2 linked regions of the Anolis sagrei genome follow. The protein of the gene in region 1 binds, or shares a complex with, the protein of each later gene. Links are inferred from orthologs where the notes say so. Each region holds a gene or a part of one and is shown in the gene's direction. Other genes may lie near its edges.

Region 1 (8,337 bases):
TAGAGACACAAACTGAAAAATCCCAAAGCAGCCTTAAATTAAATTAAAGTCTCTTAAAGTAAATCTCAACAGTAAGGGCCATAGCTCAGCGGCAGAGAACAAGCTCAACTAGCATCCTGGCATCTCTAGGATGGAGTGAAAAGAACCTTTGCCTGAAATATGAAAGAATGTTTCCCAATTAGCCTAAGCAAAGGCAGACAAGGCAGCCCTGGGACCACACACACAGCCTAAAGCCGTTTCTCTACAGCTCAGTCTCATCCAGACCTCCAGCCCAAACTTTGGGGAGAAGATGACAAAAGAAGGCAAACTGGAGCTCCTAGAAGGAATTGTGTGAGTTGGAGTCCAAAACACCTGGAGGGTCAAAGTTTGCCCATGCCTGCTCTAAAGGGATCTCGACCAACTTGACATTAATGGCAAATGTGGCGCAGTGTAAATAGCCTGTAGGTCTAAGTGTCCTCACAACAATCATGCAACATACACAAATAATATTTGTTAATAGTTTGCATTTCAAAATCAAAAGTAGACTTCATACTTCCATATTATCTTTTGGGCATTCATGTCACTCCTGAGGATTTGGAGGCTACTATTGGCCTCTGGAGACCCCCAAGTTGCCCATTCCTGGTATAGATAGTACATTCTGAGGCCCCTTCCACACGGCTGAATCAAATCCCACATGTATCTGGTCTGAAACAGAATATATGGCAGTGTGAACTCAGATAACCCAGTTCAAAGAAAATACTGTGGGATTTTCTGCCTTGATATTCTGGGTTAAATTACTTCAAAATTTCCCCAAATTGGCTGCACTGTGTGCATCATGTGAACATCACGAGAAATGACAAAAATCTTGGAAATATATGTTATTATATATCCTCTCCACAGGATCGTAACACATCCTGGGCAGTGTCTTTGTAGACGGCTGATTCTCTCACACCTGAAGCGACCTTATCATAGAATCATAGAGTTGGAAGAGACCTCATGGGCCATCCAGTCCAACCCCCTGCCTAGAAGCAGGAATTTTGCATTCAAAGCACCCCTGACAGATGGCCATCCAGCCTCTGTTTAACCTTAGAAATCATATATTTTAAAAATATATAAATGAGACTTTTTGTGATATCTCACGTCCCCACACATTTCGTCATAATGTATGTATAGATCCAACTTTTTTATAAGGTTTAATGTCAGATTTGCTAGTAAAACTTAATTATTGTCACAAAACGATGCAATGTCTGAAAAGTATGTTACCATGAAATGCTTGGAAAGCTCTGCTCTGTACACACACACACACACACGGGCAAACAATGAGACATTAAAAGGAAATAAAAACAGTGACACTTGCAGAATTTGAAGATTAAGTACATATAATTCTGCAAGTGTCACTGTTTTTATTTCCTTTTAATGTCTCATTGATTGATATATGATAGCATGATAAAATAGAAATGCGGACTTTACATATTTGTGTGATAGTGGGATAACAAAATTAGCACTTAAATGTCTTTGGATAGAAAGATTGAAAGCCATTTTTTAAATTATTTCAATTAGGAAGTAAGGGACAACTTTAGAATTTTACAGAGTAATGTAGTGTAAGTAATGCCACAGGATATCCCCAGAGTCACCATATATTGTAGCTAAATGTACCTTTTTTTTTTTAGAAAACATTCATTACAAAATTCTTCTGATATAATGTGTGTGTGTGTGAATTTTTCCTATGTGTTCCGTCGCCACTGGGCCTATAATTAATTGACTTTAGATATAGGATGTGTAACCTTTACTCAGCGGGAGGCCAGGGGCCTTAAGGAAATGTTCTCAGAGGCTTTCCTTACAAAAGGAATCTTCAGATGACTTAAAAAGGTACAACAAAGTCTTTTATTAAGGAATCTAACAGGAATTGTAAAGCTTTCAAGGTATCAGTTCTCTCAAACTTGTTCGCAAGGAACAGGCACTGTCTTCTGTAACTTTCTTTAAAGGAAAATTCCCCTTTTTTAACTTCTCCCAAGGCTAACTATGAATCCAAACCTCACTGGTGTGGGCTCCTCTGCCAGGCCGAACTGAGAGGACCTACCAGAAAGGCAATGGATTTGCTCCGGCTGGAGTTCTTTCGAGTTTAAGGCTGTCTTCCTGGAAACTCCCAAAGCTGTAGGAAGGCTTCTCTGGAGTTCTTTTCCTGGAGATTCTGTTAAACTCTGCAACCCTGGAATTTCTTAAAGCTTGAAGCCTTTGTACAGGGGAAGTCAAACACATCCTATACATTGGCTAAGCTGGCTGAGACTGACTGGAAATGGCTCTCTTTCCTCCAAAACCTAAGAAGGGGGCGGAACCAGGAAACCCAATGATAATTGACAGGTGGCTTACCCTATGATTGCAGCCTATAACAGGAAGCCACCCTGCTGCAAAATCCCAAGCCTGGGATTGCAAACAAACATTAACTGCAAAGCAAACAAAATAGGAGCTCCTGGTACAGCTGTACCAGCACTATGTGTAGATATGTATAACATTTTTTGGATTTTTTATTAGTTTATATACGTAGATCATAACATTACATATTCGCATTATGCGGGGGGAAGTAAAATAAAGTTATTTAACATATTTAGTCATACCATTCTAGCCTGTGCTGTAATCTTAACATCTTACGGGGGGGGGGGGGGGGGTGTTAGCTGACCCTGATTTTTTTTCTTGCATGGAATTTCCTTGTTTTTGAGTGTTCTTCTTTATTTAGTACTCTCATTTTAGAGATTTTTTAAAATACTCGTAGCCAGATTTTGTGCATTTTTGTAATTTCCTCCTTTCTGTTGAAAGGAAGCAGCCACGCTTTGAAGCTGCAAGGCTATTCAAGGTGATCAGTGGCAACATTCCCACTTGCCTCAAACAGACAAGAGTTCTTTCTCCCACCTTGGACATTCCACAGATATATAAACACAATTTTCCTAGTTTCCAACAGACCTCACAACTTCTGAGGATGCCAGCCATAGATGTGGACGAAACGTCAGGAGAAAATACTTCTGGAACATGGCCACTCCGCAATCCAGTGATTCCGGCCATGAAAGCCTTCTTCTTTTCTTTTCTTCTTCTTTTTTTTTGTTGTGTCAGGAGCGATTTGAGAAATTGCAAGTCGCTTCTGGTGTGAGAGAATTGGGTGTCTGCAAGGACGTTGCCCAGGGGACACCCGGATGATCTCGATGTTTTTATCATCCTTGTGGGAGGCTTCTCTCATGTCCCCGCATGAGGAGTTGGAGTTGATAGAGCTCATCCGCCTCTCCCCGGAATCGAAGCTGCGACCAGTCGGTCTTCAGTCCTGCTGGCACAGGGATTTAACCCACTGCACCACTGAGGACTCCATTTTATTTATTTGTTTGTTTGTTTGTTTGTTTGTTTATCGTGTCAGGGGCAGACCAAACAGCTGCATTGCATTTTTTAACAAAAAACAAACAAATAGACAAAACACAAAGTTTGCAGGCTTGGTATTCTATTAAATGTTCTTTGACCAGTAGCTGGCCACTTGGAGTGCCTCTGGTGTTGCCGCAAGGAGGTCCTCCATTGTGCATGTGGCAGGGCTCAGGTTGCATTGCAGCAAGTGGTCTGTAGTCTGCTCTTCTCCACAGTTGCATGTCGTGGATTCCACTTTGTGGCCCCATTTCTTAAGGTTGGCTCTGCATCTCGTGGTGCCAGAGCGCAGTCTGTTCAGCACCTTCCAAGTCGCCCAGTCTTCTGAGTGCCCAGGGGGGAGTCTCTCATTTGGTATCAGCCATTGGTTGAGGTTCTGGGTTTGAGCCTGCCACTTTTGGACTCTTGCTTACTGGGATGTTCCAGCAAGTGTCTCTGTAGATCTTAGAAAACTATGTCTTGATTTAAGTCGTTGACGTGCTGGCTGATACCCAAACAGGGGATGAGCTGGAGATGTCACTGCCTTGGTCCTTTCACTATTGGTTGCTACTTCCCGGCAGATGTCAGGTGGTGCAATACCGGCTAAGCAGTTTAATTTCTCTAATGGTGTAGTAAACGCAGACACCCCGTGATAATGCAGCATGTTTCATTAAGAGCCACATCCACTGTTTTAGCGTGGTGAGATGTGTTCCACACTGGGCATGCATACTCAGCAGCAGATGTGGGCGAAATGTCAGAAGAGAATGCTTCTGGAACATGGCCACACCGCTACCCATGAAAGCCTTCAACAAGACATTATTCAGGGAGACTGAGATGTTGACAAGCTGGAATGTGTCCAGAGGAGGGTGACTAAAATGATCAGGGGTCTGGAGAACAAGCCCTATGAGGAGCGACTTAAAGAGCTGGGCATGTTTAGCCTGAAGAAGAGAAGGCTGAGAGGAGACATGATATCCATGTATAAATACATGAGAGGAAGTCATAGGGAGGAGGGAGCAAGCTTGTTTTCTGCTTCCTTGGAAACTAGGACGCGGAACAATGGCTTCAAACTACAAGAAAGGAGATTCCATCTGAACATTAGGAAGAACTTCCTGACTGTGAAAGCCATTCAGTAGTGGAACTCTCTGCTTGGGGGTGTGGTGGAGTCTCCTTCTTTGGAGGCTTTTAAACAGAGGCTGGATGGCCATCTGTCGGGGGTGCTTTGAATGCAATATTCCTGCTTCTTGGCAGGGGGTTGGACTGGATGGCCCATGAGGTCTCTTCCAACTCTTTGATTCTATGATTCTATAATTATGTGTAAGAAATCCAAATCCCATGTGTCCTCTTGACCTGCATTTACTGCTAGGTGGCCATCTGTCAGGGGTGCTTTGAATGCAATATTCCTGCTTCTTGGCAGGGGGTTGGGCTGGATGGCCCATGAGGTCTAGTCTCTTCCAACTCTAGGATTCTATGACTATTTAAAAAAACTGCGCCGGGTTGGATGTTGGCTGGCGTTCGACCAATAAGCGGCCGAAGCGGAGCATGACAGACAGGCAACGACGGGGTTGAGAGGCGGGGCTAAGAGCTGTCATTGGTTCCGTGCGTGAGCACGCTCGCCTCCTTTTTACGCCAACGGACGTTGACGTGACTGAAGGCCTCGTTGGAGTCAGTCAAACAAGGGAGAGGGAAGACGCATGAGGGAGGGGAGGGGAGGCAGGCGCGCGCATGCGCACTCGCACTTGAGTTCCTCTCCCTCTCCTCCCCATTCGGACTAGCTTCACCTCGCCGCGCGCGCCTTTTTCCCCTCCTCCCTCCCTCCCTCCTTCCTTCCTTCCTTTCCCCTCTTCCGGTTGGGGAGGGGGAGGGGAAGTAGTAGAAGAGAGGTCGAGGCGCTTCCGGCGGGCGGGCAGGCAGGCAAGCAAGCGGGCGGGGGTGGGGCCGCCCCGCAACTGAGGGGGAAGAAGAAGGAGGAGGAGGAGGAGGAAAGCGCGCGAGAAGGAGGCAGGCACACGCAGAGACCAACGGGCCGTCGAACTACTGAGGCGGCGGCGGCGGCAGCAGATTCCCGCCTCGGCCTCTCTCCCCTCTCTCCCTCTCCCCCCTTTCCTTCCTTTCCCTCCCAGTTTTTACCTCACGCTGCCGCCGCCTGCGCCGTCATGGAGCTCATTACTATCTTGGAGAAGACCGTCTCGCCAGGTAAAAGGGGCAAAGAAGGCCAGGAGGGAAGAAGGGAGCCCATATGGGGAATGGGGAAGGGAGGCCGTTGGGCACCGGCTCCCTTCGGAACGCGGGAAGAAAAAGCCCCAAAGCTCAAGGAAGGCCGTTGGAAGGGAGGCGAGGAAAGTAGCCAAAGGGGAAGGAAGGAAGGGAGGAGGAAGGCCTTGTAAGGACCGGCTCGCTCGCTCGCTCGCTCGCTCGCTCGCTCTCAACGTGGAAGTGGCTGAGGCCCAGCGTGGCGAGCAGTCGCGTGGGAATTGGGATCATGGTCCCCCCTCCCCTTCCATACGATTCTGAGCACAAAGAGGCCTCTTTCCTGGATCTTGTTGGGGGCCATTCCTGGTGTTGATGACACGTGTTTGGGGAATGCGGGGTGGTGGAGGATTCGATGCCCAAAACGAGAGAAGTGGGAAGGTTGGGGAGGGGAGAGTCTGGCTTAGGCCCCTTCCACACAGCTGTATAAAATCCCACAATATCTGCTTTGAACTGTGTTATAAGGCAGTGTGGACTCAGGGCCCCTCCACACAGCCATATAGCACAGAACATCAGGGCACAAAATCCCACAATGTCTATTTTGAACTGGGTTATTTCAGGGCCTTTCACACAACCCTATATCCCAGAACATCAGGGTAGAAAATCCCACATTATCTATTTTGAACTGGGTTATTTCAGGGCCTTCCACACAGCCCTATATCCCACGATATCAGGGTAGAAAATTCCACATTATCTATTTTGAACTGGGTTATTTCAGGGCCCTTCCACACAACCCCATATCCCAGGATATCAGAACATCAATTTTGAACTGGGTTATCTCAGGGCCCTTCCACACAGCCCTATGTCCCAGGATATCAGGGTAGAAAATCCCATAATATGTATTTTGAATTGGGTTATTTCAGGGCCCTTCCACACAGCCCTATATCCCAGGATATCAGGGCAGAAAATCCCAGAATATAGTTTGAACTGGGTTATCTCAGGGCCCTTCCACACAGCCCTAAATCCCAGAATATCTATTTTGAACTGGGTTATCTCAGGGCTCTTCCACACAGCCCTATATCCCAGGATATCAAGGCAGGAAATCCCACAATATCTGCTTTGAACTGGGTTATCTGAGTCCACACTCAGATAATTGGGAATTTCCTATCTTGATATTCTGGGATATAGGACTGTGTGGAGGGCCTGAGACCACACTGCCATATATTGCAAAGCAGATAATCTGGGATTTTATTCAGCTATGTGGAGGGGACCTCAGATAACCCAATCCAAAGTAGATATGTGGGCTATCTGCCTTGATGTTCAGGATTATATGGCTGTGTGGAAGGGTCCTCAAAGGTTCTCTGTGGCCTGTGGCAGGACCCTGGGTGGGGCGGATTTCTCTCTCTATCTCTCCCCCCTCCCTTCCTTGTTCTCAGCATATGGCCGTGGGGCAAAGCTGCTACTTCTGTCAGGAAGTTGAAGGAGTTGCACATTGCATCCTTAAAATGGTCAAGAAAGAGGTCCAATGTCTACCTTTGTATATAACAAAAGAGTTGGGGTTTTTTAAATCAAAGTCATTCACACGTGTCCTCCAGAGTTTTCTTTGAGGGCCCGAAGCCCTTCCACACAGCCCTATATCTCACAATATCAAGGCAGAAAATCCCACATTATCTGATTGTGGACTCAGATAACTCATGTCAAAGCAGATATTGGGGGATTTTCTGCCTTAATATTCTGGGATATAGGGCTGTGCGGAAGGGCCTTTGGTTTCCCAGGCATTGATCTATGATTGTGGCCCTTTCTACATGCCTGTATAAAATCCACATAAAACTGGATTATATGATTGTGTAATAATAATAATGATCATAATAATTTTATTATTCTATCCCGCCACCACCTCCCCGGAAGGGCTTGGGGTGGCTTATATGGGGGCCATGCACAACAAAAACAGAATAAAATATAGCACAATTAAAATACATTGCATATGGCAGTGTAGGCGCAAACAACCCAATTCAAAGCAGATATTGTGAATTACCTGCCCCAATATGGCTGTGTGGAAGGGCCCTGTGTTAGGAGTGGAGCCCAGGCCGTGGCTGAAGGCCATCTCTCCCAAACGACCTGCCCCATATTTCCAAAGAGGTCTTCTTTGTCAAATCAGTGGGCCTAGCGGCCTAGCATGTAGGATGGGGTGGCAAAGCTCTTCCTCTCTGGGCGCTTCCACACAGCCATATAACCCAGAAAATCCCTCATTATCTGAGCGTGGACTCAGATAACCTAGTTCAAAGCAGATATTGTGGGATTTTCTGTCTTGATATTCTGGGATATAGGACTGTGTGGAAGGGCCCTAAGTTCACACTGCCATATAACGTTTTAACATTTCACCTCATACATCTGGCCCGCCCTCTGTGTTTGATTTTATTTGTTATTTTATATTTTTGTTATGTACTTTCTTGTTATTTTGTGTTTAATTATGTTGTATTATTTTGGGCCTGGCCTCATGTCAGCCGCCCCGAGTCCCCTTTGAGGAGATGGTGGCGGGTTATAAATAATAATGTTGTGGGATTTCCTGCCTTGATACTCTGGGTTATATGGCTGGACTCTGATTCAGGGGAATTTTTAATATATTTTTCCTGTTTCTTCATTTCTTGAGAGTGGAACACAAGACTCCCCAAATATCTTTTTGTACTCTTCATTATTATTATTATTATTATCCCAGTTCAAAGTAGGTGTTGTGGGATTTCCTGCCTTGATACTCTGGGTTATATGGCTGTGTGGAAGGGCTCTTCTGATTCA
Region 2 (7,723 bases), on another chromosome or scaffold:
TAGAGAAGACAATTATGCTGGGGAAAGTGGAAGGCAAAAGGAAGAGGGGCCGACCAAGGGCAAGATGGATGGACGGCATCCTTGAAGTGACTGGACTGACCTTGAAGGAGCTGGGGGTGGTGACGGCCGACAGGGAGCTCTGGTGTGGGCTGGTCCATGAGGTCACGAAGAGTCGGAGACGACTGAACGAATGAGCAACAACAACATTTACAGGCCCAACGCGCGACAGAACATGAGTCCTTTGTCCCACCCTGGTCATTCCAGAAATATATAAACCCATTTTCCTAGTTCAAACAGACCTCACTACCACTGAGGATGCTTGCCATAGATGCAGGCGAAACGTCAGGAGAGAATGCCTCTAGACCATGGCCATATAGCCCGAAAAAACCTACAACAACCCAATATTACAAACTACAAAAGGGCGAGAGGTGTTTGCAGAATCCTATTGTGCAAAAGTAGGTGCTTCCCAAGGCTTACCCAATGAAGTGACATGTCCTGACCACTGTCAAAGCCTCTTTGAGCGCACTCACTAACGCCTCCCCTCACAGGCGTTGCTAACTTCGAAGAGGCCTTCGCGCGGGTCCCTCCGCTGGGCATGTGTGGGCGCGCGCCTCTGCCCCGCAGCACGTGACGTCACGAGGCCGCGACAGGGAACGAGGGAAACCAAGGCCGAGGCACGCGCCTGTGTCCTGTGGGCCACCATGGACAGCTCACCGTCCTGGGCCCGCCCTCCAGGCCACCCGCCGGCCTTCAAGGCAAGGCAAACAGCTCCGCAAGGAGACAACCCGGTCCTGTTTTTTCCCCGCCTGGACTTCCGCCAGGCTTCCCCAGCGCGTGCCAGCAGCATTCACCACGGAGCTATATATAGAAGGAAACAGACTTTATGAATTAAATAACTGAATCCTTGCCCTCTTCGAAATTGAAAGTCAATCTAAAGGGGGGAAACGAGGGGGAGGGAGGGAGGGAGGAGAGAGACACACACAGAGCCTGCTCGAGTCTAAGAAGCAGGCTGCAAGTTTGGCAAAACATCCTTCGCTTGGTTGTTGTTTTTTCTTTCTTTCGCGAAAAAGAGATAAAAGAGGAGCAGCTCCGACGGGTCGAACCTGCTCGTGGAGCTCAGCGGTAGAGTTGAGTTGGAGGCAAAGATGGGATCGGGAGGCAAAAATATAAACACAATGCCAAAGGGGGAAGCGGCTCCCAGTTCCAAGGAGCAATGGCATCAAACTAAAGGAAAGGAGATTCCACCTGAACATGAGAAAGAACTTCCTGACTGTGAGAGCTGTTCAGCAGTGGAACTCTCTGCCCCGGAGTGTGGTGGAGACTTTGAAACAGAGGCTGGATGGCCATCTGTTGGGGGTGCTTTGAATGCTGTTGGGGGTTAGACTGGATGGCCCATGAGCAGACATGTAGCGGGGGGGGGGCGCTTTGGGGGCTTCAGCCCCCCCCCCCCCAAATTCTCATGGTGGCCCGCGAAAAGGCCTTACTGGTGCATTATTTAAACTGTTATGTTTATTCATATCATGATCTGATCACCATACTCAATATATCCCATATGCATGGGGGTATTGGGGTAACAATACAAAAGGTTTGCTAGGGTAAACACTCTTTCACTCAGACTCAGCCCCCCCCCCCGAATCAAACTCAGCCAGCCCCCCTCCCCCCCCCCCCCCCGAAACAAAATCCTGGCTACTGGCCTGCCCATGAGGTCTCTTCCAACTCTATGATTCTACTAGCCGTCCCCTGCCAGGCGTTGCTGTGGCCCAGTCTGGTGATCTGGAAAACAAAGTAATGAGAAAGTGTTGGTGTCTAATATATGTAATTTCTTTATGTTTGTGGGTAAACAGTATTTCTTGCTGTTTCTTTGTCAGTATTGATGTGGAGATTGTCTGGTTTGCCTACTCTGGAACATGCAACATATAATTGTCCTTCTTTAGGGGTCCCTTTCAAATCTAGGATACTATATCTGTGTGTGTGTGTGAATCATATATATCTATCTATATCTATGGCTGGATGGCTGTTTGTCAGGAGGGCTTTGATTATGTTTTCTTGCCCTAGTGAAGGGAGTTGGACTGGATGGCCTTAAGTTTGGGGGTTCTGTGTGGGAAGTTTGCCCCAGTTCTGTTGTTGGTAGGGTTCAGAATGCTCTTTGATTGTAGGTGAACTATAAATCCCAGTAACGACAACTCCCAAATGTCAATGTCTATTTTCCCCAAACTCCATCTTTGTTCATATTTGGTCATATGGAATATTTGTGCCAAGTTTGGTCCAGATCCACAGTGCTCTCTGGATGTAGGTGAACTACTACTCCCAAACTCAAAGTCAATGCCCACCAAACCCTTCTACTGTATTCTGTTTGTCTTGGAAGTCCTGTGTGCCAAGTTTAGTTCAATTCCATCAATGGTGGGGTTCAGAATGCTCTTTGATTGTTGGCGAACTGTAAATCCCAGCAACTATAACTCCCAAATGACAAAATCCATTTTTTGAGTTATGGTCACTCGTTGGCCTGATAGGTGTATTGCTATGGCCCACATGGGGGTTTTGTGTGGGAGGTTTGGCCCTATTTCTATTGTTGCTGGGGTTCAGAATGCTGTGTGACTGTAGGTGAACTATAAATCCTGGCAACTACAACTCCCAAATGTCAAGATTCTATTTTTCCCAAACCCCACCAGTGTTCACATTTGGGCATATTGAGTATTCTTGTAGAGTTTGGTCCAGATCCATCATTGTTTGAGTCCACAGTGATCTCTGGATGTAGGTGAACTACAATTCCAAAACCAAAGGACACTGCCCACCAAACCCTTCCAGTATTTTCTGTTGGTCATGGAAGAACTGTGTGCCCAGTTTGGTTCAATTCCATTGTTGGTGGGGTTCAGAATGGTCTTTGATTGTAGGTGAACTATAAATCCCAGCAACTACAACTCCCAAATGACAAAATCGTAATTTTTTTGAGTGAAGGACATACATTGGGTTATTAGGTGCCTTGTGTCCAAATTTGGCGGCAATTTGTCCAGTGGTTTTTGAGTTATGTTAACCCCACAAACGAACATTACAATTTTATTTATTTAGATAGATAGATAGATAGATAAGGTAGGTAAAGGTAGTCCCCTGACATTAAGTCCAGTCATGTCTGACTCTGGGGTGTGGTGCTCATCTCCATTTCTAAGCCAAAGAGCCAGCGTTGTCCGTAGACACTTCCAAGGTCATGTGGCCAGCATGACTGCATGGAGCGCCGTTACCTTCCCGCCGGAGTGGAACCTATTGATCTACTCACATTTGCATGTTTTCGAACTGCTAGGTTGGCAGAAGCTAGGGCTGACAGCGGAAGCTCACGCCGCTCCCCGGAATCGAACCTGCGACCTTTTGATCAACAAGCTCAGCAGCTCAGTGCTTTAACCCACTGCGCTACCGGGGGCTCCCTAGATAGATAGATAGATAGATAGATTAGATAGATAGATTAGATAGATAGATTAGATAGCTAGCTAGCTAGATTAGCTAGATAGATTAGCTAGATAGATAGATTAGATAGATAGATAAGATAGATAGATAAGATAGATAGATAAGATAGATAGATAGATAAGATAGATAGATAGATAGATGAGGGCTTTTGCAACCCCGCTCCGTGGAGATCGAAGCAGAAACAGGCAAGCCCACTCAGATCTCTGTGGAGAGCTCTTTCCAGCTCAATGTGGACCGTTATTTGGGAGTAAGTAGAGCTTCCCTTGAGGGAAGAGGTCGAGGCTTCCTGCCGAGCCCCTCCCCCCCTTTCCCTTCGAGGGCAGTTTCACAACTCGAGAGTGGCTCCCTCCCCGCAGTGCCAAGATTAGGAAATCAACAAAGACAGCCTTCCTCGGAAGTGAACGCTTGACAAACTCAGGCGTAAAATCAGATAAAGCGGTGCAAACTCGTGCCTCGGCACGTTGAGGGAAGGAAAGAAGGAAAGAAAGAGGAGGGAGACTTTGGAGCCTCTCTCACACTGAGGAGGAGCTTCGAGGTCCCAAGCACCCTTTGTGGACCACTTGGAGACCCCGAGGGGCGGGGACTCAGGTGAGGCGGCCAATGAGGCGACGAGGGCGTGGTTGGCTCATCTGCTTTGAGGCACGTGGCTCGCGCCGCCCAACCAGTCTCGCGCCCCTGGGCGCGCCTCGGAGAGCCCGCGTGAGCGTCACGTGACGGGAGGACAACCCCAGCGCGCGGGCTCGACGTCTTTGGCGAGTCAACCCAAAAAGGGGAATCTCCCCCCACCACTCTCTCTCACCCCCTCCTTTTCCTCGCTTCCCTTATATAGGAAGAGACTCCCTCTCGGAGCCTTCACTGAGGCAACAGGGAGGCGGGAAGGAAGCAACTGCTTCATCGTTATGACAGAAAGGAGTCAAACCTAGAATCGGATTATTCGCTGCCACTGGCCTGTCAGAGAGAGAGAAAGAGAAGCAGAGAGGACCCCTAGAAGTGGGTGCTGCCCAGGAAACGGGGCTGACTTCTAGGAAGGCAAAGGAAAAGTAAGGCTTCGGGGTTGTCTTGTTTGTCTGGGTTTTGGTCGTGTCAGGAGCGACTTGAGAAACTGCAAGTCGCTTCTGGTGTGAGAGAATTGGCCGTCTGCAAGGACGTTGCCCAGGGAACGCCTGGATGATTTGATGTTTTTATCATCCTTGTGGGAGGCTTCTCTCATGTCCCCGCATGAGGAGCTGGAGCTGAATGAGGGAGCTCATCCTCCTCTCCCCATATTCGAACCTGCGACCTGTCGGTCTTTAGTCCTGCCAGCACAGGGGTCCTGCCAGCGTTTGTCTGGGTGCAAAACAACTATTCCAAGAGTGATGAGGTAGAATGTGGGGATTTGGGACCGGTGTGGCGCAGTGGGTTAAAGCACTGAGCTGCTGAGCTTGTTCACTAGAAACGTTAAAAAAGAATCTTAAAACCTGGCTCTTCCGCTGTACCTTTGGTGACCATGACATTTTGCACCCCCCAACGTTTTCTGCTACTGGATTGTGCACCCTCCAAATGGGAAGTTTAGCCTAACAACTCTGTGTTTTTATGAGTTTCCCGTAAATGTCCTGCTCCTATTTTATCTCATTACAGTCTTTTAATTGTTTTATCCTGTATATGCGGCCCACCCATTGTTATCGTTACTGTGATTGTCTTTATTACAATGTTATTTTATGATTGCCTTTTCCCCCTTCTCTTATGTAATTATGATGATGTTGTAGTTTGTTAGTTGTTTATGTTTTGATTTTATTGCTGTAATATGTTGTCCGGGCTTGGCCCCATGTAAGCCGCTCCGAGTGCCCACCGGGGAGATGGTGGCGGGGTATAAATAAAGTACTGAAGACCGACAGGTCACAGGTTCGAATCCGGGGAGAGCCGGATGAGCTCCCTCTATCAGCTCCAGCTCCTCATGCGAGGACATGGGAGAAGCCTCCCACAAGGATGATAAAACATCAAATCATCCAGGCGTCCCCTTGGCAACGTCCTTGCAGACGACCAATTCTTTCACGCCAGAAGCGACTTGTAGTTTCTCAAGTTGCTCCTGATACGACCAAAAAAAGTATTATTATTACGGACCAAAAGGTCACAGGTTCAAATCCGGAGAGCAGCACGAGCTTCCGCCATCAGCCCCAGCTTCTGCCAACCTAGCAGTTCATAAACATGCAAATGTGAGTAGATCAGTAGGTACCGCTCCAGCACTCCATGCAGTCATGCCGGCCAGATGACCTTGGAGGGGGGTCTATGGACAATGCCGGCTCTTCGGCTTAGAAATGGAGATGAGCACCACACGCCCAGAGTCGGACATGACTGGACTTAATGTCAGGGGAAAACCTTGGTGGTCCAGGATGGGGATTGAGGGAGTCCCTGTCTGTGGGCCTCCTCACAGGCAGCGCTTCTCTAAACAGCTCTGGCCCAAATAACCTGTCCGAACACATCTCCCCCTATGAACCATCACAGAGATCCTCCGGGGAGGCCCTGCTTTCTGTCCCGCCATTGTCACAGGCGCGATTGGTGGGGACGAGAGACAGGGCCTTCTCGGTGATTGCTCCCCGGCTATGGAACTCCCTTCCTGGTGAGATCTGGTCGGCCCCCTCCCTCCTGTTCTTTAGAAGGGTGGGAAAGACTTGGCTGTGGGACCAAGCTTTCGGGACAGGGCAATGAAACGACAATGGGAAAGATGACAGGGCCAATTGGATTTGATGCAGATGGCTAGGAAGGTTTTAAATGGTGTATTTAGTATTTTGATAAATGAGTTGTTGTAGGTTTTTCCGGGCTATATGGCCATGTTGTAGAGGCATTCTCTCCTGATGTTTTGCCTGCATCTATGGCAAGCATCCTCAGAGGTAGTGAGGTCTGTTGGAACTAGGAAAATGGGTTTATATATCATCATCATCATCATTTAATTACTTATTAATTGCCCTCCATCCAAGATGCTCTCTAGGCGATTTACAAGCTAAAATGGTAAAGGATAAAAATACATACAGATATTGATAAAATTAACATAGATCATATATCTGTGGAATGGCCAGGGTGGGATAAAGGACTCTTGTCTGCTGGAGCTAGGTGTGAATGTTTCAACTGACCACCTTGATTAGCATTTGATTAGATGTCCCTGATTGTTTTCCCTCTGTTGTTTTGCTGTTGTAATTTTAGAGGTTTTGAATACTGGTAGCCAGATTTTGTTCATTTTCATAGTTTCGTCCTTTCTGTTGAAATTGTCCACATGCATGTGGATTTCAGTGGCTTCTCTGTGTAGTCTGACATGGTGTTTGTGAGAGTGGTCCAGCATTTCCGTCTTCTCAAATAATATGCTGTGTCGGTTGGTTCATCAGGTGCTCTGCTACCAGGGACATCTAATCACCTCTCAACAAAAGATTGCCCCAGTCACTGCCAGGCCATCAAATGCTAATCAAGGTGGTCAGTTGAAACATTCACACCTAGCTCCAGCAGACAAGAGTTCTTTGTCCCACCCTGGTATTTATTTGTCGTGTCAGGGCAACCAGTCAGTTGTATTACATTTCTAACAGAACAAAACAAACAAACAGAAAAAAACACAAAATTTGCAAGTTTGGTAGTTGATTAAATGTCCTTTGACCAGTATCTGGCCACTTGGAGTGCTTCTGGTGTTGCCTCAAGAAGGTCCTCCATTGTGCATGTGGCAGGGCTCAGGGTGCATTGCAGCAGGTGGTCAGTGGTTTGCTCTCCTCCACACTTGCATATCGAGGATTCAACTTTGTAGCCCCATTTCTGAAGGTTGGCTCTGCATCTCGTGGTGCTAGAGCGCAATCTGTTCAGCGCCTTCCAAGTCGCCCAGTCTCCTGTGTGCCCGGGGGGGGGGGGGGGAAGGGAGTTTCTCATCTGGTATCACCCATGGATTGAGGTGCTGGGTTTGAGCCTGCCACTTTTGGACTCTCGCTTGCTGAGGTGTTCCAACCAGTGTCTCTGTAGATCTTAGAAAACTATTTCTTGATTTAAGTCGTTGAGGTGCTGGCTGATACCCAAACTGGGGATGAGCTGGAGATGTCTCTGCCTTGGTCCTTTCACTATTGGCTGCTACTTCCCGGCGGATGTCAGGTGGTGCAATGCCGGCTAAGCAATTATTATTATTATTATTATTATTATACATGGCTATCCTATCTCCTCTCAGCCTTCTCTTCTTCAGTCTAAACATGCCCGGCTCCTTAAGCCGCTGCTCATAGGGCTTGTTCTCCAGACTCTTGATCATTTTAGTCGCCCTGAGCCC

What was found.
Region 2: the proteins of KPNB1 (region 1) and PTHLH are in contact, whole or in part, in a crystal structure (PDB 1M5N), measured with the Homo sapiens proteins. The link is inferred for Anolis sagrei from reciprocal best matches to the Homo sapiens genes KPNB1 and PTHLH. Residues at the interface, in NP_002256.2 of Homo sapiens: Val55, Tyr104, Pro106, Gln111, Glu152, Tyr156, Gln159, Asn196, Leu199, Asn200, Gln239, Glu274, Gln278, Glu281, Asp288, Ile295, Ser298, Glu299, Asp339, Asp340, Trp342, Val350, Met353, Glu395, Trp430, Arg434, Glu437, Asn469, Trp472; in NP_945316.1 of Homo sapiens: Tyr103, Thr105, Gln106, Glu107, Thr108, Asn109, Lys110, Val111, Glu112, Thr113, Tyr114, Lys120, Thr121, Pro122, Gly123, Lys124, Lys125, Lys126, Lys127, Lys129.

Annotation. Positions count from the first base shown.
Region 1 is NC_090026.1:34,784,929-34,793,265, reverse strand, and holds the start of KPNB1 (importin subunit beta-1), read left to right. Parts: upstream 1-5,090; 5' UTR 5,091-5,510; coding exon 5,511-5,550; intron 5,551-8,337.
Region 2 is NC_090025.1:102,554,027-102,561,749, reverse strand, and holds the start of PTHLH (parathyroid hormone-related protein), read left to right. Parts: upstream 1-4,308; 5' UTR 4,309-4,496; intron 4,497-7,723. UniProt on the Homo sapiens protein: Neuroendocrine peptide which is a critical regulator of cellular and organ growth, development, migration, differentiation and survival and of epithelial calcium ion transport.